Bombyx mori: one gene and its partners. Each later gene encodes a partner of the first gene's protein in a complex. Links are inferred from orthologs where the notes say so. Each region holds a gene or a part of one and is shown in the gene's direction. Other genes may lie near its edges. The genes, in order: mediator of RNA polymerase II transcription subunit 25, mediator of RNA polymerase II transcription subunit 20, mediator of RNA polymerase II transcription subunit 24 and cyclin-C.

The links.
Region 2: mediator of RNA polymerase II transcription subunit 25 (region 1) and mediator of RNA polymerase II transcription subunit 20 share a complex: the UniProt entries of both Homo sapiens proteins name them as parts of the mediator complex. The link is inferred for Bombyx mori from reciprocal best matches to the Homo sapiens genes MED25 and MED20.
Region 3: mediator of RNA polymerase II transcription subunit 25 (region 1) and mediator of RNA polymerase II transcription subunit 24 share a complex: the UniProt entries of both Homo sapiens proteins name them as parts of the mediator complex. The link is inferred for Bombyx mori from reciprocal best matches to the Homo sapiens genes MED25 and MED24.
Region 4: mediator of RNA polymerase II transcription subunit 25 (region 1) and cyclin-C share a complex: the UniProt entries of both Homo sapiens proteins name them as parts of the mediator complex. The link is inferred for Bombyx mori from reciprocal best matches to the Homo sapiens genes MED25 and CCNC.

What each region holds. Positions count from the first base shown.
Region 1 is NC_085126.1:7,906,875-7,911,160, reverse strand, and holds the start of mediator of RNA polymerase II transcription subunit 25, read left to right. Parts: upstream 1-1,483; 5' UTR 1,484-1,650; coding exon 1,651-1,772; intron 1,773-2,706; coding exon 2,707-2,865; intron 2,866-3,414; coding exon 3,415-3,578; intron 3,579-4,286. Other genes in the region: malonate--CoA ligase ACSF3, mitochondrial, read right to left, coding at 487-637. UniProt on the Homo sapiens protein: Component of the Mediator complex, a coactivator involved in the regulated transcription of nearly all RNA polymerase II-dependent genes.
Region 2 is NC_085134.1:1,809,445-1,812,534, reverse strand, and holds the end of mediator of RNA polymerase II transcription subunit 20, read left to right. Parts: coding exon of another isoform or gene 1-12; intron 13-401; coding exon 402-544; intron 545-1,333; coding exon 1,334-1,593; intron 1,594-2,323; coding exon 2,324-2,533; 3' UTR 2,534-2,583; downstream 2,584-3,090. UniProt on the Homo sapiens protein: Component of the Mediator complex, a coactivator involved in the regulated transcription of nearly all RNA polymerase II-dependent genes.
Region 3 is NC_085113.1:5,801,964-5,806,260, reverse strand, and holds the start of mediator of RNA polymerase II transcription subunit 24, read left to right. Parts: upstream 1-1,404; 5' UTR 1,405-2,130; coding exon 2,131-4,297. UniProt on the Homo sapiens protein: Component of the Mediator complex, a coactivator involved in the regulated transcription of nearly all RNA polymerase II-dependent genes.
Region 4 is NC_085121.1:11,205,368-11,209,561, forward strand, and holds the start of cyclin-C, read left to right. Parts: upstream 1-1,346; 5' UTR 1,347-2,634; coding exon 2,635-3,225; intron 3,226-3,306; coding exon 3,307-3,399; intron 3,400-3,505; coding exon 3,506-3,628; 3' UTR 3,629-4,194. UniProt on the Homo sapiens protein: Component of the Mediator complex, a coactivator involved in regulated gene transcription of nearly all RNA polymerase II-dependent genes.

The sequences.
Region 1 (4,286 bases):
CTTTTATTGTATACAGTTTATTCCACCCTTGTATAACAATACAACCGAGGGTTTGACCTCATGTCTTAAAGGTGGTATTCAAGTTGTTCATCCAGTCATCGTGGATCTGACAAATACCATCAACAGCCAGGGTGCAAGCTGAAGAAACTTAATAATTTCAATTCAAAGCAGCAATCCAGATTTCCAAACTTAGATAACATTAGGACAGGGTTACAGCAAGCCGTAGACATGGAATTTGGATAGCCAGTGGCAGACGCAGCGGTCACCTCGCTTCCAGGGCGGCGTACCTGCCAATACGACACTACACAACTCTCACAGTTAGGGACAAACCAAACACGGGAGCTCCTTATAATGGCAGTATACGTATGTAAAAGCGGTGCATCGTCTGGTCAGGCCACCGCAATTGGATCCCGTTTAACGCCAACAAGTTCATCAAGACTAGACAATTAGGAGTGAGATCTGTTTAAGGTGAACGAAACAACTTACCATCTTGAATATCTTTATTGAAACTCGTCAGTAGCTCGGTATTCACTTCATCTTTGGCCGCGACATTAACTACACTTCTGTAACTTGTTAAAGCGAGGGGTTTTCTCAAAAGCCGGTTGATCAAACGACACGAACGAAAAGTTATTTCCATCGCAATAATTTTTTTGTTGCAAGTGATTCCCGTATTCAAGCTACGGACTGGACGAAAGCCACTATCAAACACGAACTCTGCTAAATTGAACTATTTTAGTTGTAGTACTACTAGTAGTTTGGAGAATGATCAAATTAATCATTCAAGTTTTGTCCAAAACCTAAAGCAGTCTCAGGGCTCGTATTGACTTTGACACAGTCAGCTGACTGCGGTCCATTATTATTTTGATCACCAATACCGGTAAAGGAAACATATTACATACTTCATAACGAAGTCCCATAAGTAAATGATAAAGATAATCTAAGATTACATAAATATTCTTAATTTTTTTTATTGCTTAGGTGGAGGAACGAGCTCACGTCCTACCTGGTGTTAAGTGGTGATTTGTTACCGGAGTCCATAGACATCTACGACATAACCTACCTTGAGATATAAGTTCTAAAGGTCTCAGTTTTTACAGCACAACGGCTACTCGGGCTACTCCACTCTTCAAACCGAAATGCATTACTGCTTTAAGATAGAAATAGGCAGGGCGGTGGGTACCTACGCGTGTGGGCTCACAAGACGTCCTACCATCAGTAATTACGGATATTTAAATTTTTCGGGTTTCATTTTTATTAAACTATGTTATTCCTTCACCGTAAATGACAGGAAAAATAAAATGTATAAAACTCTCTGATGTGAAGGTTCATTTTCGTACTTAGTTTTTGAGTTCCTGATCTCAAAAATAAAACATCGATTTGAAAAATAAACATTAAAATATGAAATGTTGCACATCGCTCAAAATTATCGACTTGCTAAATAAAAAAGTTCGAGATGTCAATATTTCACCTTGCTAGTTTATTCTTCCACTACCATCATAGATTATAGACTACCATACCTATAAACAAACATCATATTAACAAACATTCAATTTTATTCTTTTAAATTAAGTGAATTAAATGATTATGCTAAAGTTTTCATAGATTTGTCACATTTTAGAATATCATACAAAAATATTAAACTAAGTCGCAATGGTGGCTAACGCACCGGAAACTCCTGTACAAGCGGAGATAGTGTTTGTGATTGAGGCGACCGCTGTTAACGGTGCCTTCATAAACGAACTAAAAGTAAATTATCTTATACCCACATTAGAGTAAGTTAACCATTACAAATAAACTTAAAATAACAATAAAAATCTATTAAAACGTTGAAGCGTCTTCGTCGTTGTCTTAGTAATTATTTATTTTTGTCGTGTTTGTAGATGAGTGGGTTCACGGCTCATCTGGTAATTAACTGAAGGCCATAGAGAGCACAACATAAATGACTACTCTGGATTTGTTGTTGTGACTGTCCTTCGGGGGCTTATCTTGTCTTATAGTGACAAATTTCAACTTTAATACGTTGAATGCAACATGAAAAATCAAGTATTTTCATTCAGGCCATGGTGCTGACCGGTGTTTCTTGTCTTATTGAACCGGGTCACCCGTGGGCCGCGTCAGGGTTCCAATAAGCCACAGATTTCAGTTATGAAACAAAACATATATGGAAGTGAGCAGCGTGGTCCATTAGCCATACCGAACGCCTTGGTTTTCAAATCCAGTGTTTATCAAGCCTCTTAAAATATCTTAGAAACTAGATTGTATAAGTTGCTAATTTTTATATTTTCTGTAAATTGTCACAGTTTTTAAATATTAGAGTGACAATCTGAAGTTGATAAAAGTTACTGATTCCCTGATTTTGACTTGGCTATAGTACGCTAGACCCACCGGTGGGCCGCCTCGTGTTCAACACATTAATTTATTTCAACTTGAATATTATAGAAATACTTTGGGCCCCAATTTGTGAAGCCCAGTTCGCCTAATCAGTACATGACCAGCTGTCTGTCTATATGGGGGCTCGTCCACCTACACAGTTCTATACCGTCACCTTATTTAGTTCAGCTTGGTACGTTTGATGGAAATAGCCGTTCATTTTATCCGTTAAACTCAATTTCTGTTTACAATATATTCTTTTGTTTTTACAATAGAAAAATCGAAATACAGTAAAACATGTTATTATCAAATCACATTATTTTCTCATTTTTTCAGATATTTCCATGGCGGTGCTCTCGAAGAAGGCAGTGGTACTGGCTCTGTATATGCAATAGTTACATACAAGGCTGCAGACTGCCACCCTGGAGTACCAGTATCAGTTTATGGACCCTTCAACAATCCTCAGAATGTAGTTGAAGCTGTTGATAAAATACAGTAAGTAGAAGGAGATGAAATAATAATTGGGCTTATGACATCTATACTTCTATACTAATATTATATAATATATATCATATCATATATATTATATATATAATTATAAAGAGGACAGATTTGTTTGTTTGTTTGTATTGAATAGGCTTCAAAACTACTGAACTGATTTGAAAAATTCTTTCACTGTTAACTACACTATTCTGGAGTGACATAGGATAAAATCTTTTTTTTTTTAAATTAGGGATCCTTACTAAAACTCCAATAATGGTTTAAAAACCCAAGGTTTAAAAAATTACCTAAAATAATTTTAATGTCTTGACCAGTATCCACAAGATGAAAGTAAAGATGAATGATGTTAATTTAGTTTTGTTTATTATTTAAAAAATATTTAAAAAATGAAATGAAAGGGGAATTTTATTTTTAAAGTACTTAATGCTATACATAATAAACATTAATAAATGATGTAATTATATAAAACAATAATTTACACATTTGTAATGAAATATTTCTGTATTTGTGTGAAACCAAGCATATAAATAAACAAAACTTCAGATTCATTGGGGGACATGCGGAGAGCAGAGCTTGTATCACTGAAGCCCTAACAACAGCCTTGACATGTTTCGATGAGTTTGGTCGTATTGATGCACCGATGTATGCTGTCTTAATGTGCTGCTCCCCACCTTACTCTGCCTACGCCGGAGGAATAGTTCCACCAGGTAAACTAATTTAGTTTTGTCTAAATCTTTAGAAAAACACAACATATTCAAATTTTTTTTAATTCAAAATTTAATTTATTTTTGATTTCTCATTTTTATTTATAATATATGTCTGTTTTGATTGGGTACAATATTTATATATAATATAATATACCGATTTATATATAATTAGCCGTACTCGCCTGCTTCGCTGGGCATTTAAAATTAACATTATTATTTATTGTGTTATTGTTGTTATTATTATTAGGGAGTCCAACACTCATATAGATATTAGCCTATCCATTAAGTACATGTATTTTCTACATGGACACCAAGTTTCAAGTCAATCGGATGCATGGTTCAGTAGTTATAACAGAACATCTGTAAAAACCACTGTAGATTTATATATTATTAGTATTAGTATAGATCTATAATAAATAAAACAACCATCATTGTATTAATGAAATCACTGACGGATACTGCTTCAATTCAATGAATTGCATTCATATATAATTACTAGCTGACCCGGCAAACGTTGTTTTGCCATATAAAAGATTTCTAGGGTAGAAAAAAAAAACTAACTTATTGTAAGTGTGTAAGGATTTACAAATAAAAAATAAGGGTTGATCGTAGAGGGGTGAAAATTTAGGGTTGTATGTATTTTTGTATTCTGTATCATAAAAAAATAAAAACAAATTTTTTTGTCTAAAAAATAAAAAAATTAATTTA
Region 2 (3,090 bases), on another chromosome or scaffold:
GGGGGTAACAGTGTAAGTGTGCAAATTTAATAAATAGAACGTTATTATTGTGTGGTATTCCTATAATTACATTCATAAAAATATACCGCGATGTATAATACTAATACTAATAAAAGTAATAACTCTATGTAAAGGTAGAAAGTAAACTTCTTGACTTCATACGTTATCTCAAATTCTTCTTTAACCTTATCCGGTGTATGAAAACTATCCCCGAATAAAAATACATGTTAGTGTAGCTTATTTTTGACACAGTTTGGCCAGACTGAAGGAAGAGTATCATTAAAAATAATAACGAAACAAATCTATTTATTATGTTTTTGATACAACTACAAAATCTACCATAAAAAAATCGTGAAGAGTGGATTATATTTAATAAACTGTTTCAATTATTAACTTGACAGCTTACAGCAATATCCAGTGCCAGAGAACAAGACCGGAACATATGTAGTGGAGTTACTTACAAAGCGTATCTTAGCATTAGGGGCGACACAACAAGGACAGTTCCTGGTTGATTGCGAGAGTTATTTATCACATCCACTCATGGGTACGTGTTTACTGAATCCAAGCTAAAAGTAAAAAGAAAGACACATTCCACTTAGCGATTTATAGAGAAATCACACAGCCCATCGCCAATACATGGATATGACATATTTGAAAATATTTCAGACATTACAAAGGTGTCAGCTAGTTTATTGTACTTAAAGTCCTCGTGGCCTATGTGGCCCGAAGGTGGGTACCAATTTTCGAATGAAATACGTACTTAACAAATATTCACGATTGACTTCCACAGTGAAGGAATAACATCGTGTAATAAAAATCGAACCCGCAAAGTTATAATTTGTGTAATTGCTGGCGGTAGGACGTCTTGTGAGTCCTCACGGTTACCACCATCACACCTATTTCTGCTGTGAAGCAGTAATGCTTTTTGGTTTAAAGGGTGGGGCAGCCGTTGTAACTATACTGAGACCTTAGAACTTATATCTCAAGGTGGGTGGGGCATTTATGTTGTAGATATCTATGAGCTCCAGTAACCACCATCCATCCACTTAACATCAGGTGGGATGAGAGCTCCCATCTAAGCAATAAAAAATAAAATGCAAGGAATTTATAAAAACCAAAGCTAATCGTGTACTTGATAGTTGAATTGAAAAGTTGATGAGATGCTGATACCAATATTTATTATCTTTTCATCAAATTCAGCCAGACCACTTAACGGTTACCATTACTTGCATACGCTTGTGGAAATTAACAATACGAAACACACTTACCTAAAGTTTTGTCTAATGCTGCTTTTAAAATTTCTGACAGCAAAAACGTAACTCAAATATTCCAGGTACAACAAAAACAGTACATATATTACACAACTCTGAGCAGCCTGCGTCTGTCTTCTCAATCCTTGAAAGTGGCACGAAAAATATTCACGTCATAGCTGACGGACTATTTGACTTGTTAATGATGAAGTTGTCTCAGCATTATACTTCTAAGAAACAAACCAAAATCGAGAGCAAAGGACCTAGGTTTGAGCTCGGAGATTTCTGTGTGAAGCTCGGATCAGTTACTATGAATCAGAATTTTAAAGGGATTTTGATTGAGGTGAGTGAATTGAATAATTAGTGAATAGCTATGTTAATATATGTGAACACTTGGAGGCATCCAGAACGTCCGTCACTATATCTATAATAGTACATAAAGATAGATGGAGAAATACGTTCCTAAAAAGAATACTTCCGTAATATTATGTTAAAAAAATCTTTGTTTTTTATAGATTGCTGTTGTTGTCAAAGTTTTCAAAATTTGCGTAGTGAATATTAGGGACCATGAAAATTATATCATACTTGACATTGGCTACCTTAATACATGAGGTTGAAGTGCCAATTATATTAGATAACTGTTACCTATTATTTAAAGTGGAACACCTTGGTGGCGTGGTGGTGCCTTGTGGCAGAAATATGCCCAAAGGTCATACCTAGTTTTGGGGATTGAATAGGCTTGATAATTATAACAATATGAAGCTATTTTTTCTATGGAAATTTAATTGTCAGGCATACATTAGGCATCTCTTTTTTTTGAGTTTTCTTAGTATTAGATGTTCGAGCTCACCGTCTATCTGGTGCTAATTAATACTCAAAACACATTTTTGGCCAAGGGGCAACGGCTAGACTTTCATATTGTTGCATAGACTAGACTGGATGTGTAGGAGTCAATCTATCAATCAATTCAATCTATCAATTCTCTTTTCCCTAACTCTCTGTCATTGCCTCAATATCTCAGACTATATTGATATTATTCACAGTATCATTAGAATATGTTCTATAATTTCTAGGTAGAATACAGACCATGCGTAATGGCTAATGCGGTCTGGGGTCTGCTTCGAGAGTTCCTTCAAGGATTGTTAGGGCCAACTGTTCCGGTCCAACCTCCTCAGCATCTAATAAGCAGAATGAACGAAATATACACTCCAATAGACACAATATATCAGTATTTAGAACATTTCAGTGCTTACAGAAAGACTACAGGGATGAGAACGACATGAACTAAGTTGACTGTTTTGTGTTTTTTTATTAAATAAATATGTACATTTTACTCATTCGTTTTTAGTTGTTCTATGACAAATGTCTGGTAGTTATGTTTTAAGTAGGGACATAGAGTCAAGAGATTTTTTTAGAAAGTTGTCTCTGGCAGGTAGATTGTTAATAATGTTAAACTTGAGAGGTTCGAACTTTAAATCTTTCTAATGACATTAATCAGACAAATATTGTTACTATTCTATGTAGTGATCTCGTGGGGTTATTCTAGATTCACCCAACTAGTAGGTGAGATCACGGGGCTCAAACCTGGCGTCGTTGCCAACATGAACCTTAGCAAGAGCCATGCTTCGCAGAATCTACCACCGGATCGGAAACGCGACCCACTGAGAAGATCTGGGGAGAAACTCAGTGGGCTTTGTCTGTGGATTCATTTACTTGCCAAGCCCTTCGTCGCAAGCGAAGGGTTCGACGAGAACGATGACCGGTGCTTGGGGTACCTAAAAGCACCGTTAGTGGATCGGGAGGATCCGAAATGACGTGTTTTGGGCGACGTCGACTGTTT
Region 3 (4,297 bases), on another chromosome or scaffold:
TTTAAGTCGAGCACTGTCCAAACTTAAATTTTGGCTTGTCTCCAACGCTCTTAATCTTTCTGTTTCAAAAAGTTGCATTGTGTTATTTTCTAGAATGCGGCTTCCTCCTCCTGTTTCCGTATATTTTGATAATGAACTTATTCCATCTGAAAATGAAATAAAATTTTTAGGAGTTATTCTAGACGCCAAATTATCAGGTTTATCACATTGTTATTACGTTATAGCTAGATGCGAACGAGTTTTGAATATTATGAGATGTTTAACTGGAGTCTGGTGGGGTGGACATCCATATAATCTAAAGCTCCTATACAACGCTCTCATACGAAGTATTTTAGATTATGGTACTTACTTTCTTGAACCATGTAATGCAGTCGGACTAAATAAGCTTGATGGCATACAATCAAAAGCTCTCCGTTTAATAACCGGTGCAATGAAATCTAGTCCTATCAATGCTTTACAAGTTGAGTGTGTTGACCCTCCTCTGCGACTCCGTCGTCAATATCTTTGTGACAAGTTTCTGTTCCGTGCTCTACAATTTACCAAGCATCCCCTTCATACCAAATTATCTACTTTATCACATTTAGTTTCATCTTCCCCCTACTGGAGGCACAAGTCTCTACCTTGTTTAGTCGTGAGTTTTCGTAAATTTTCCTCTTTGCTTGCCCCCACTCACATGTCTCATCGTCTCTCTATTTTTTCTGCTGAATATGAAGCATTAACTCTTGTTCCTAAAATTCATTTTACCTTAGATATATCTCGATCTATTTTTTCTGCCAATATCGATTTTAATATCATCTTAGATAGAGAGTGGTCAGATCGACATTACATTTATAGCGATGCATCTAAAAATTCTTCCTCTGGTCTCGTTGGTGTTGGAGTTTATCATCAACAATCAAAAATTGTCCAAAAAATTAAACTTCCACCAGAAAGCTCTGTTTTTACTGGGGAATGCTACGGATTATTTAAAGCTATAGAATATGTTAATTTGATGAAATTACATAAATCTGTTATTTTTTCTGATTCCAAAAGTGCGCTTCAGGCACTTCAGAAATTTCCTTTCAAATCTTGCGCCAATTACCCTGTTATTGTAGATTGTAGAAAATTACTGTGGGAATGTAATTTAAAAGGTTTCGATGTAATTTTTGCCTGGATTCCTAGTCACGTGGGTATTTCTGGCAATGAATTTGCTGATAAACTTGCCAATGATGCTGTGGATTGTGGAGATATTTATCCATACAAAATCTTCATAAATGATCTTTTGTGTCTTCCGAATTCAGACCTGCGCGAATCTTGGGGACAAACATGGGCTATTTCTAGTCAATATAAAGGAAAGAATTATGCCCAAATACAATCTGTCATTCCTACCAAGCCTTGGTTTTACAATTTTAGATTTAATAAGATCACGACTACTATCATAATCCGGATGAGACTGGGTCATGCTTGCACTCCATCTCATTTGACTAGATTGGGTATAGTCAATAACAATATGTGTGATTGCGGCGCTGATGTTGGCAATTTAAATCATATTTTTTTCGCGTGCTCCTTAAATGACTGTTCCTCATTTATTGATTTATTAACATCCCTTGGTATTCCACTCCCGACTTCTATTAATACTTTGCTGTGTACTATGAACTATGATATTTATTTATGTATTTCAAATTTTATCCTGAAACATAATATCAAATTGTAATTATGTATATAAATACCTACCTGATCCATTCTTTTTAATTATCCGTTTTTTCCTTTTTCTCCTGTTTCCCTACCTTTACCCTTGTATGTGGCTAAATGCACAAACAGTGCAAGCTAAAAAAGAAAAAAAAAAAAAAAAAAAAAAAAAAAAAAAAAAAATGTCTATTTTGTGATTGGGCTATTATTATTCAAGTTTGATCATATAAAGTAATGTTTATTCTCAAATGCTCGCTATAAATAAAATATCTTTAAAAATGTGATAAACTTAATATGCCACACAAATATAACGAATTAATTTCAATATTCAACAGTGAACAAGAAAATGTAATTTGTAACCTCAAAGACTAGTAGTAAAGTGTTGTTTAAACGACTAATATCACGTCAAAAATGTGTGAAATGTAAGAAAGAAACATTATTGTGCTCTAATAAAATACAATAAAAATGGATGCTTCCAAAATAACGAGTAAAACTAGTTCACTAAAAGCTTTAATTTTAAAAGCTTGGAAAGAACGATGGACTGATATTCAATGGGGCATCAACATCAAAACTATACTGCCGAGGGGCGTCAGTGGTGACCTATATAATCTGGCTGATTGTATTCTTCAACAAGCCATGGTAGGCTGTGGGGCCAATCAGTTAGTGATATCGTATTTGAAACATTCACTTGCGTGTCATTTGGTCTCTTTCGCGGCTGTGTTACAACGAATCGCAAAATTTGATGCTTTTCACAAACCTCATTGTATAATAAGCTTGTTGGAGTTCCTTGAAACCTTTTTGGAGAGTATTACATGCAGAGGCAAGTTAGAAGAAGAAGTTTTAGCTTATGCTGTATCATCTATAATATTGTGGCTTTTACAAGTATTTCACTATTCATTAACCAAGTATCCAGCTTCAAGTTCTGTTCAAAGTCAGGAATTATTGGAGAAATCATCAGTTTTACTGAACTCTATTGTTAATACAGATTTTCTGATTGCAATGTTCTATTTGGCCAAGCAGAATGATCCTGATGAGTATAACGAAGTGACAAAGAAATGTCAAGAGATAACAGCATTTATGATGATGAACACTCAATTCAAACCTCCGATGACCATACATGTCACTTTACACAAAATCTGCAATATGGAATTGGATAAAATAGCACCCTTAAACAATAAACCAGAAGCTGTAACCTATTGTCTGCAGGCTTTAATAGCTATAAATGTGTTCTCAAACCCTAGTGCAGGCATGCAACAGATCTCCAGCCAACTACTAATGGTTCAGAAAATAAAAGGCTATTCATTGTCACGTCTCTACTGTGAACTTATTAGAGCTTGTTTCATTTCACTAAATGATTCTAGTAATGATGCATCGAAGCAATCATTGTGGGCTGCATTCACTTTTCTAAAAGTTCCACAAGTGATAAATCACCTCCATAATATGTGTGGGACAACAAATAAGGAAAGTGAATATTCTACTGAGGTTGTGGAAGCTTTTGAAATGTTATTACAATCAGCTCCACTCCTGGATATTGTTGATACGAAGAATTCTTGTAATAGTGTTATTTCACTTATAGAGCCATTAGTTAAACTTAATGTTCTGTCAGATAATACTTTGACATATTTTAAACAAAAACGTGAGACTATTGATCATCCTTTACAAAAATTTGAGCCAATAGGATTACAAGGCTCAGTCCCATTATTTATAACTCGTGTTGAACCTACATTGGCAGAGATTTTAAAAGCATTGAGTGGTGAATTTCACAAAACTCAAGAGTCGCTCTATATCATGCTATGCCAAATAGTTGGTCGAACTACATTGGATACCATCCTGGCCGTTGCAACTGTGGAAGGAAAACTAAAAATGTTTGTGTCAAGACTCATTAAGTTTAATGAATTTGCATTGTTTGCTGCAAGTGAAAAAGGTGCACCACAATCAAAAGTATATATATTTGACATTTCATTTTTGCTTTTATGTTGGATAGTCCAAGATTATGGAGCTGATGTTGTTCTAGAAGAAAATGGTGATTCATTTTTTGAGAAATGGGTAAGGGATTGTATGGTACATAAAGGAAATTATAAATCTTCAGATCAGATACTTCAGAAATGTGATCATGTTGTTGATGTTATCATTCACCATTTGAGTGCTCCTGACTTTGATTTCAAAAATACTAATGTCAAACCTCATGATCTTTGTATGAATATCACTGGTGCAGTCAAAGAGGTTCTTTTTGCTTGGGAACAAGGTCTACTTTCGGCAACAGATGTTAAAAGAATGTTGGATTCTATAAGACAAAAAATGGCTTCCTTGGCAGTGTGTGCATCAGTATGGCTTTGTTCATACATCAATGTTGTCCATCAAGATGCATCAATAAAACCCATGAATATGGTTCAGCAATTTTTAACATCACCTACTGAATTAGAATTAACTCAAATAGACAATTTTCAAGAAAGAGCAATTTTGATGTGTCAGATAATAAGAAAATTACTGTTTAAAATTCATCCTACCTCAATGCCAAAATCAAAAGAGCAGCAGTTGCCATACAGTATCACCTCTCGCAAGCCAATATTAGAGCAACTACAAAGCATTTGGGAAAATATAAAGTCTAGAGGATACCTTCATATTGATGCTA
Region 4 (4,194 bases), on another chromosome or scaffold:
ACACAACTTAGCAAATATATTCCACAGTTAATCTAAATAATTGCAAATAATGCTTTTGAAGATCGTTGACTTTTGATCATTAATTAAAATCATCTTCTCGTAGAATTTACAAAAGCTCATTTACAAAAATTTATATCAGTATTTTCATATATTACTAACTTACTAATTACAACTATTCAAAACGTAATAGTATAACTATAAGAACTAAACAACCTATTTTAAAACAAAATTGGCATCAATTTAGTTCTTATGAACTATTTCAATTATTAATTTATAAATTATAAACATATTTAAAAAAAATTAAGATCCCTTGTGAGTTCACATTCCTTGCTGAATCAGTTTCTCTTCTGAAACGGAGAAACAAAGTATCTTAAGTATGTAACAAATATTGAAAAAATACGACCATGAAAAATTTAGTGTTAATGTAATCATACTTACAAATTAATATATTACATAACACGTTCTGGTTCAAATATAGTGCATCAATCTTTTCATGTTTCAGACATTTTAGTGCTCCTTATAATTTTTCCATAAAATTTTGTCATTATCAAACCTTTGTCTACAAAAATAAAAACATTATTTTATATTGGGTAGAAGGATGAACGTGGTCACAGGCCACTTGGTGTAACTTGGTTATCAAACACCAGGAAACAAAATGTGAATGCCATCATTTAACTTTGGATGTGAGATCAATTGTGCTGTATTTTATTTAAACAGGAAAGCATGACTATCAATCAGTCATGCTTTCCTGTTTATTCCATTCCAAAAAACTAGTTCGGGCCCACTTGACAATAAGCATATAATACGCTGAGTTGCAAAACATAAATACTTCCACCCACTCGAGACAATTTTATTATCTGAGGTGTGTGTGTGATAGTACGAGACTTAACACCGACTGTTTTGATCAAACTTAACATATATGATAGCTAGGCAGCAGAAATAGGAAGGACCATTAGTTGGTGCTAATTCATTTAATTATATTATGAATAATAATTCTGTTAGCAAATAATATACCGGGAAAATAGTGTAAACTCACCGTTATCAAGGCATCCGAAATAGCATTTCATTTTCGATCTTCGAGGCATGCTGATTTTTAATAATAAACTTTCTGTAAGAAACGAAAATAGTTACACAGGCTTACGAAACGCTAACGAAGAAAAAAGTATTGGAACCAAGTTATGTCTAAAGAGAATTCAAAACAGAGTTTCTCAATGTCTAATCGTCTAATATTCTCATAAAGCTAAAAGATGCTCTAAATTAATACTACAACGTAAAATAACTCACACCAAGACAAAAAAAAAACGATTTAAAAAATTAAATCGTTACGACATTTTGAAAACGTTTTTTTTTTTTTTTGAGATTGTTTTACGGCCCTGGAATTTTGAAAACTTCAAAGCAGTGTTTCCACTTACGTTTTTTTAAACACATTTTACCCTAGTTTCTTTTGAATTTATCCCTAAAATTTCCTAGACAACTTTCATAAATCCTTTATATAGAAAGTATAAATAAAATACAGAAAATAAACCACAGCATATTATTTAATGTAGGTATATATAATATAAACGCCCCCAGAAGATCATAGATATATAGGATTAGAATTTTCAAGGAAGTCGACGCATTGCTTTTATATTCTTTTGCTGCACGCAACCTAACACTGTTCGGTTCTAAAATTGAGCAATTGTTTGCTGGCAAAGTTGGGAACTTTCTATGAAGCAAGCCGTTCAGGGTTTCATTAGAAAGCCTGTTTCTTTTGTCAGTTTTTACATTTGAGAACACTGAATTATCTTTCCACCTCAGTCTTTGAAGAAGGAACTGCTAGCAAAAGTGAAATGACAATTACAAGGTTTTCGTAAATGAAATTACCATGATAATCTTTCATGGTACATGAAGTACCTGTATATTACAATACAAGTAAGTTCTGGTGACATCAACGAAAATAGGTAAATAAAAGTTTGGCGGATTATACTTATTGGGATTCTGGGGAATCCCTAAGAAAAAAGCAGTGGCTTAATCTATAATTTACTTTACTAGAGGGTTACTGTTGAATCAAACCTTCTTTATAGTTTTTATACACAACTCTGTTTTATTCTTTTACTTGTCAACTCGACTTAATGTCATTCTCTCTCCATAAAATAAAATGTTCATTGTTTTACTTTAATTATCGTTTATTTTAAAATTCACAACAGTTACTAGTATAGGCTTTGCTTTTTACCCCGAACTATCCTAAATCCTGGTATTTTTTAAATTGTCTTTATCATCCAAAATATCAGCTATTTTTCCCTAAAAAAGGGAGAATTCCCTAAAAGTGGAAGCACTGCTTCAAAGTACGCTAACCTTTTTTATTGAGTCAGAACTCGTACCTGCCATCTAGTGAGTTTATTAGATCATTAAGGCCAAAACGTTTCAAAAATGACCTCGCCGGTTCCTAAAGATGACGCTAGTTGAATGTTCTTTTCCTTTGTATGGGAGTTGCACCCCCCTGGTTATGCATACATATTACTAAAATACACAGTTTCAAAAGTTTCATAGAATAGGAATGGATGGAAAAATGTTAAATTTGTAAAAAAAGTATGTTTTTTTGATAAATCAAAATTTACCAAATTTTAATAATTATTGTGTTTTGCCTTTGAAGAAATGGCTGGAAATTTTTGGCAAAGCTCACATCATCAACAATGGATACTCGATAAGCAAGAGCTAAGGCGCGATCGCCAGTTTGATTTGAATATTTTATCAGAAGAAGAATACCAAAAAGTATTTAATTTTTTTGCTAGTATAATTCAAGTTTTAGGCGAACAACTTAAACTTCGTCAGCAAGTAATCGCAACTGCAACAGTTTACTTTAAAAGATTTTATGCAAGGAACTCTTTGAAGTGTATTGATCCACTTCTTTTGGCACCAACATGCGTATTTCTTGCATCTAAAGTTGAAGAATTTGGTGTTATATCCAATTCCAGATTAATAACAACCTGCCAGACAGTTATAAAAAATAAGTTTAGTTATGCTTATGGACAACAAGAGTTCCCGTACAGGACAAATCACATTCTGGAGTGTGAATTTTATTTACTAGAAAATTTAGATTGTTGTTTAATTGTATACCAACCATATAGACCATTACTACTTTTTGTCCAAGACATAGGACAAGATGATCAACTTCTGACATACGCTTGGAGAATAGTAAACGATTCCTTGAGAACAGATGTTAGTTTGTTGTACCCACCCTATCAGGTATGATTTATGTAATGCAAATAGTCACATTTCATTTTTTATTCATAAAACTTTTCATTGCCATTATATTTTGAATTACAGATTGCAATTGGTGCCTTACAAATAGCATGTGTGATGCTTGGTAAAGACAATCTCAAACCTTGGTTTGCTGAGCTAAATGTTGACATGGATAAAGTGAGAAATATACTTGAATATATATTAAAATTAAAAAAAATATGGTTATTGTGTGGTTGTATTACAAAACTTCTGAAACTACTCATTTAAAAATTCAAATTTACAGATCCAAGAAATTGTGAGAGCTATCATTAACCTTTATGAGATGTGGAAAAGTTATGATGAAAAAAAAGAAATACAAGGGCTATTGTCCAAGATGCCCAAACCAAAGCCAGCTCCCCAGAGATAGCAAGACATATTTTGTAGTATGGATTTGTATAATGGATATATAATTTTTAATTGTAGACATGAAAAATTTGTTTTTAATTCCCTAGGAAAAGAAATTACTATTTTTGATGAGGTCACTTATATTTCAAGTGATTTTTATGAATTTTTTCAACCATAAACAAATACAGTGTAGAGCACACTTTAGAGCATAAATTAAAAGAACAAGAACTAAGTTATTTAATTTTCCATCACAAGCCAAAGATACTCTCTTTATTGGTTGTTATGTGATTTAAGACTATTGTATCCTATTGTAGCCTTTAGACACAAAAGTAAATTATTCCTTTATTTCAAGTTTAATGTTTAAATAATGTCATTGTATTGCTATGCTGCCCAATAACATTGTTCATATAAGTAAACTGACAAAGATAAGTAAGATGACAAAAGCTAAAGAAAAAAGGCAATTCTAATGAATTTAGTCTTATCTGTCTGCATGTTTTTGAGCATTGATACTTCATTCATTAACTGTGTTGCATTTGTTCACATTTTACAACATTTGTCAACATTAACAATTTTGAACATTGAAAATGA